Linked DNA regions of Ovis aries. The protein of the gene in region 2 purifies or fractionates together with the protein of the main gene of each other region. This does not show direct contact. Links are inferred from orthologs where the notes say so. Each region holds a gene or a part of one and is shown on either strand. Other genes may lie near its edges.

Region 1 (3,238 bases), on a different chromosome or scaffold from region 2:
AGAAGTGTAGAAAATGTTGAAGGAACTGAGGTCCAGGGCTGCAGAGTGATCGCTTGGTGACTCACTCAGGCTTCCTGTCCGAGCTCCTGGTTCAGGTTTAGGGCGATGTGTCCTCAGGAGCCCTGGTTCCCTACACACTGCCCCAGATCCAATGTTGAGTCTTGCTACCACTGTTAATAGAAAACAAGACAAAGAGAAAAATTAAGTTGAAGTACCATATAGGACAGTGCAGTTACAGAAGATTTCTCTCCTTGCATAGATTATATGTTCTCACCTTTTCCACCATAGTTTGGTTTCACCTGTTCTTGACCTTCATGTGAAAAGCATCATATACTGTATATTCTTTTGTGTCTGGGAAATGCAAATTTGCATATTCCTAGAGCACTGGTTGTATGGGTCATATTCTGGCTCATATATTCCTAGTACAGTGCCCTTGCTATTCTAATCCCAGCGGTCCTCAATCAGGCTCACTTTGTCCCTCAGAACGTTTGGCAATGTCTGGAGCCATTTTTGGTTCTCACAATTGGAGGGATGCTGCTGGCATCTTGTGGGGAGAAGCCAGGGATTCAGCAAAGCAACATGGGTAAATCTTAGGAAAATTGTGCTGCATAGGAGAAGATAAAGTACTTACATTGTATCACTTCATTTTATGAAGATCCAGAAAAGGCAGACCTGTAGTACAGGTGGTAGAGCAGTGGTTGGGAGGAGAGGAGAGGAAAGGAGGCAGCAGATAGGATTGGAAGCTTAAGGGAGTTCTTGGGATGATGAAAAAATTCTAAAACTGGATTGTGGTCATGGTGGCACGACTTGAGGAATTTACTAAAAAACCATTGACTTGTACATTTAAAAAACTTAGCTCCATATCAGTGATCTTATAGGAAGCAATTTTCTCCCTTAGAGTCATAATCATAATTTGTGAAGCCCAACTGGCTCAAGGATTGTTTTTAAGGATAATACTAATATTAGAAGACATGTTAATCTAGAAAACTCATATGGGACACTTACCTGAAAGACGAGCCGTGTTGCAGATAAGATTGGGATGTCATTTTTCATGTCCATGTGGATCCTTCATGTGTTGTTTGAACTATTATGCGAAGTGACTCCAGTGTGGTTCCTCAGTCTGGTTTTAAACACATCAAATTAAGCCAGCATATGATTTCTAAATCCAGGTGGCTGGTCTGTTGCTACCAGCGCCAAGTAGGAGAGGAATGCCTGAATAAGTATTAATATACCATCCCCCTTTTAAAGAAACTTCTATAATAGCCCTTGGTGTCCTCTCCACAGCCCCCTTTCTACCAGCTGCCAGCATAGTGTGCCCAGGGAGCAAGGGGTGCCTCCTGAAGCATGTTTTTTCTCTTTTACTACAGACAGTAAGACTACCCTTTGGGAGATTGTGTTCAAATCAAGCTGTCACAATGAGCATATACTTGCACTGGGGGGCACGGGTGGTTGAGGGTTTGCTTACTTTTCTCTGTGCTTTCTCATCTAATAGGCTCTGGATTACTGCCACAGCAAGGGAATCATGCACAGGGATGTGAAACCTCACAATGTCATGATAGATCACCAGCAGAAAAAGGTACCATTACAGCCAGGCAGCAACAAGCCTTCATTGGAAGGCTCGACCCGAACTCTGGCCAGTACCTAGGTGGTTTCTATAGACCCATGCTGTTTCCTTTGGCAGACTTATGACACTGTTATTTCTCCAGATTCCAGTGTTGGTTTCTACTTCACATAAGTGTAGCACACAAGGAAAGTAGACAGCTGACCCTAACTGTAGTCGCTTGTCTGCTATGGTCATGGTTTTCCTAGAGGGCCTCAAAAAGAAACTACAGCTGGTGATTTTTACTTCCTTTCTTAATGACCCTCAGACCAATCTGCCTGGCCTTAAAAGTACACATGGGGCCCTCCTGTTTTTGAACCTCAGTTCTGATTGCCCCTGACTGGTGAGTAAATGAATCAACTAGTGTTAGATTAGTGAAGAGCTAGAGTAGTGCTTCAATCCTGGAGTGGGGCACATGTCCCCAACCCTTTCTGTTACGACTAGAGCTTGTAATGGAAACTGTTGAGTAATGAGGGATGTGTTAACACTTGCAGCTGGTTATGGGCACAGAAGACAAGCTTAAGCTTTATTGATCTAGAGAAGTGATAAGCCAGGATAATTTAAATGTTAAGGAAAAACAACTAAGATTCCAACCAAGTGCTCTGCTCTAGAAATGACCTCTTAGCAGTTCCCAGAAGGTACATGTGCCTTTTTAAAAGCCAGTGCAGTTGATAACATTTTTTATGTGGCCAAAGATTATCAAATGGGATGTGGCCTTGTTGTAAGACAGAGGCGTCTGGAGACACTCCCTTCACATGCTTTGCTTCTGTCATATTTATAGCTGCGACTGATAGACTGGGGTCTGGCAGAATTCTATCATCCCGCCCAGGAGTACAATGTCCGAGTGGCCTCCAGGTACTTCAAGGGACCAGAGCTCCTTGTGGACTACCAGGTAAAGCTGTTAATGAGGCATCACTGAGTTCTTCTTACATTTGCTTAGGGCTTTTCCTGGCTTTTTCTTTTTCCTGGTTTTTATTTATAGTCAGTTTGGTTACATTCAAAATCCAGTCTATATTCTACCCCAAAATGATAAAATGATAATGATGGATTTGTCTCAGCTACTTTTTTTGGTTTTGAATTTTAAAATAGCTATAGAAGATTAGAAACTCAGGTCAGAAAAATGACATTTGTAACCCCCTTCTTTATTTCCATAGATGTATGATTATAGCTTGGATATGTGGAGTTTGGGCTGTATGTTAGCAAGCATGATCTTTCGAAAGGAGCCCTTCTTTCATGGACAGGATAACTATGACCAGGTAAGCAAACACCCATCTGACTGCCATCCATTTTGGAGCAGATGCCAAGAAAATAGCATCCTGATAGGAATGCTGTTGTTGAGCCCCTAAATACCACTCAGTGTAAGCTTTTCTTCAGGGTAAAGAATTTCACAGAATCTTATCTATGGTCCCAAAGATAGAGACAGACAGTGCTGTGTTATGCCCAGCTTTCCAGCTGAGTCTATAAAAGAGCTAAGTACCTCCTTGTACAAGATTCTAGTCGTTCGGTTTTGTTGTTTGTTTGTTTTTAGGCTGTGCTGGGTCCTCATTTGCTGCACATGGCCTTTCTCTGATTGCAGAGAGCGGAGGCTACTCTGTCACTTTGGCGCGCGGGCTTCTCATTGTGGTGGCTTCTCTTGTT
Region 2 (3,924 bases):
CAGTCACCGGGGCGCGCAGGAGCCCAGCACACACTCGGCGGGGGGCCCCCAGCCCCCTGGCCCACTGGGGCCCGCCCGGGGGAAGGCTGTTGGCTCCACCTTTGAGAGTTTCAGGATCAACATTCCTGGGAACACAGCCCCTTCTGGCAGACTGCTCAGCCCTGGCTTCTGTAACACGTTCCGGCCGGTGGACAGCAAGGTGCAGAGGAGAGCGAGCCCCTCGCCCCTCTTCTCTGTCAGGAAGACGAAGCAGCTCAAGAGCGAGATCTATGACCCCTTCAACCCCACGGGCTCCGACTCCAGCTCCGCCAACAGCAGCCCTGAGCACCTGGGCCTCCTGCCCTCGGAGATCACGCGGACCATCTCTGTCGACAGCCCCAAGGCCCCAGCGCTGCCCCCCGTGCGCTGCGTCACCTCCTACACAGTGCAGACCGGCGCGGGGAAGGAGCTGGAGCCCCCCCAGGGGCCCTCCAGTCTGTCTGAGCTCCAGGACGAGGAGCCCTGCGCACAGGCACAGCGGCCGTCCCCACCGGAGCCCTGGGGCGATGAGGAGCTGCCTCCCCACAGCTCCTTCTTCGGCTCTGAGGGCCGGACAGTGACCTGCGTGACTGTGGTGGAGCCCGACACGCCGCCCAGCCCTGACGCCCCGCCTGCGACCACCCACAGGGTCGTGGAGCTGCGCTCCCCCTCCCGCTCCCGCTCCCGCTCCAGCTCCCGCAGCCGGAAGAAAGGCCCCCAGCCGAGGGTGGTCACCAGGGAGCAGCGGGCCGGCCGCTCAGGCTCCCGCTCATCCTGCTCAGGAGACCGGAGTTCCAGGTCTGCCTCGCCGCCAGCAGGCGAGGACCAGCACAAGAGACACCGGCCCAAGGCCCGGGGCCGCAGGTCATCCAGCGAGCGCTCCAGCAGCCGCGAGCGCGCCAAGCGGAAGAAGACGAAAGACAAGAGCAGGGAGCGGGGCAGAGGCTCCTGGGGCCACAGCCGGCGGAGGTCCCGCTCCCGCTCTGGGAGCTCATCCCACGAGCAGCGCGAGGGCCGCAGGAAGAAGAGGCGCCGGTCAGGGTCCAGGTCTCGGGGAAGGGAGTGCTCCCCGCCCAGGCACCCCAGGGAGAGGAGGGGGCGGCCGAGAGACCGGCGCGGCTCCCGCGAGAGGCGGCGGCGAAGGTCCAGGTCCGCCAGCCCGGAACACAGGCCCCGGGCGCACCGGCGGCCTCGGTCCCGGGAGAAGCGCCCGCGGCCACACCCCCACTCTCCTGAGCGGAAGTTGGCCCCGAAAGAGGCTTCTGCAGCACCCCCTCCCCAGGGGGAGCCCAGGCCAGACAGGGAGACCCCGGCCAGGTCCCCAGCTAGGCCCCCATCCTCAGCGGGAGCAGACGGCTTACCAGAAGGGCCCGCAGTTGACAAGGCCGCCCCAGTCCCGGAGGTGCTGGCCGAGTATCCAGCGGAGGATGTGGACTACGGCGACTCTGTGGAGGCGGGGCACCTCTTTGAGGACTTTTCCAGTGACACCATCTTCATGCAGATTGATGATATGAGCTCCCCGCCCTCCCCGGAGAGCACGGACTCCTCTCCGGAGCGTGACCTCCTGCCCAAGCCCACCGTGCCCCCAGCTGGCCCCCAGCACGACACCAGCCTGGCGGTGGCCGTCATCCGGAGGGAGGTGTCCCGGATCCACGGGGAAGACGTGGCTCAGCCCTCGCCTGGGGCCGAGGGCCCCCAGGAGAAGCGCCCGCTCCAGCAGGAAGCGGACGAGCCCACTGCAGTGCCCTGCGCCCTGGGAGCCCAGGCCCCAGGCGGGACGCCTGTGGGGAAGGAGGAAGGCCCCTCTCAGAACCCTCTGCTGCGAGCTAAGGCGCTGGTGAAGAGGGTCACTTGGAATCTCCAGGAGGCGGAGTGCGGGGCCCCGGCCGATGACAGAGGCCTGTGTGAGTAGGCGCTTTGGGGGGCGGGGAGTGATCCTCGGGTGACTCCCAGGCCGCCTTGGTCGTTGGGGGTGGGATGGCAGCACCTGCCCTGGGGTCCTTGCTCCGGGACGCTTTTCTGGAATTTTTTAGCCAGGAGGCAGTCTTGTGGCCTGGAGGGCCCCAGTACACCCACCCCCGTATGTTGGCCCCCAGGGACACCACTTCACAGGCCACAGAAGCCTCGGGAAGGAGTCTGGGAATCTGACGACGTGGGCCCCATGGCTGGGCTCCATCAGGCACCCTTCTCTGCGCTGCCTGCCCCTGCTTATGTGCTTCCAGAGCCTGGCTTCCCCCCAACTGACCCCTCTCAGGTGGGCCCCTGGGCTGGAGGGATGTGGCCTAGCACCCAGGCTACGCGGGCTGGGCTGGGCTGGGGCTGAGGCCTGCAGGCACCAGCCCTTTGCTGCCTGGGCTCTTCGGGTTCAGAAGTGGGGGTTGAGGGCACAGGGTAGTGAGTGTGTAGAGGCTGAGCAGGCTTGTGTTCTCGCCCAGGTACAGAGCCCCAGCCTGCCCCCCGGCCCAGCCCTGCCATCAGGCATCCCACCATATGCACCTATCAGCCAGCCCGCAGTCCAGTTCCTCCTCCAGGGGAGCCAGCCCCTCCCAGGCTGCGGGGCAGCCCAGAGCCTGGCCCCAGTGTCCACCATCCCGACTGCAGCCTCAGAGCCAGCCGGCCACGCTGCCGCCGCCACTGCTACCAACGACTCTGAGGAGAGGACGGCTCCTCCCAGGCCGGCCCCAGAGAAGGCCAAGAATGAGGAGGTGAGACCCTGCCCTTCCCCCAGGGGCAGGCGCGGGCCGGTAGTCCGGTGCTGAGCCTTCACGGTGTCCTCGCCCCCAGTACATGAAGAAGCTGCACGTGCAGGAGCGGGCCGTGGAGGAGGTGAAGCTGGCCATCAAGCCCTTTTACCAGAAGAGGGAGGTGACCAAGGACGAGTATAAGGACATCCTGCGCAAGGCGGTGCAGAAGGTGGGCGGGGGCTCAGAGCCCTGGGCGGGGGCGGGGGCGGGGCCTGAGGGCCCGGGGCGGGGCGGGGGGCGGGGCCTGAGGGCCCTGGGCGGGGCGGGGGCGGGGCCTGAGCCCTGGGTTGTGAGGTGGGCGGGGCCTGAGGGCCCTGGGCGGGGGCGGGGTCTGAGGGCCCTGGGCGGGGCGGGGCCTGAGGGCCCTGGGCGGGGCGGGGGCGGGGCCTGAGCCCTGGGTTGTGAGGTGGGCGGGGCCTGAGGGCCCTGGGCGGGGGCGGGGGGCGGGGCCTGAGGGCCCGGGGCGGGGGCGGGGCCTGAGCCCTGGGTTGTGAGGTGGGCGGGGCCTGAGGGCCCTGGGCGGGGGCGGGGGCGGGGGTCTGAGGGCCCTGGGCGGGGCGGGGCCTGAGCACCCTGGGCGGGGGCGGGGGCGGGGCCTGAGCCCTGGGTTGTGAGGTGAGCGGGGCCTGAGGGCCCTGGGCGGGGGCGGGGGCGGGGCCTGAGCACCCTGGGCGGGGGCGGGGGCGGGGCCTGAGCCCTGGGTTGTGAGGTGAGCGGGGCCTGAGGGCCCTGGGCGGGGGCGGGGGCGGGGTCTGAGGGCCCTGGGCGGGGCGGGGCCTGAGGGGCGGGGGGCGGGGCCTGAGCCCTGGGTTGTGAGGCGGGCGGGGCCTGAGCGCCCTGGGCGGGGCGGGGGCGGGGCCTGAGCCCTGGGTTGTGAGGTGAGCGGGGCCTGAGGGGCGGGGGCGGGGTCTGAGGGCCCTGGGCGGGGCGGGGGCGGGGCCTGAGCCCTGGGTTGTGAGGTGGGCGGGGCCTGAGCGCCCTGGGCTCCGTGGCCACACCCCACACCCCCTCGCTGTAGCTTAGGTGCTTGGGGTGTAAAGGTGGCTGTTTGTGAGCAGTTGTTAGAGGTTAAGCAACACTACGTTTAACCCCACTCACGGCTAGGAAAATGAGACTCCTAGAGGTGGACGTGCCAGGTCGCCTCAGGAGGGCCGCCAGCCAC

What was found. Proteins that work in one complex are often made in the same cells at the same time.
Region 1: the proteins of PHRF1 (region 2) and CSNK2A2 purify together in Homo sapiens (affinity purification with mass spectrometry; 3 studies listed by BioGRID and IntAct, counting the BioPlex papers as one, with this or other methods). This does not show direct contact. The link is inferred for Ovis aries from reciprocal best matches to the Homo sapiens genes PHRF1 and CSNK2A2.

What each region holds. Positions count from the first base shown.
Region 1 is NC_056067.1:25,611,702-25,614,939, reverse strand, and holds part of CSNK2A2 (casein kinase II subunit alpha'), read left to right. Parts: exon of another isoform or gene 1-170; intron 171-1,005; exon of another isoform or gene 1,006-1,120; intron 1,121-1,492; coding exon 1,493-1,576; intron 1,577-2,381; coding exon 2,382-2,492; intron 2,493-2,754; coding exon 2,755-2,856; intron 2,857-3,238.
Region 2 is NC_056074.1:47,078,781-47,082,704, reverse strand, and holds part of PHRF1 (PHD and RING finger domain-containing protein 1), read left to right. Parts: coding exon 1-1,922; intron 1,923-2,051; coding exon 2,052-2,272; intron 2,273-2,453; coding exon 2,454-2,723; intron 2,724-2,802; coding exon 2,803-2,931; intron 2,932-3,924.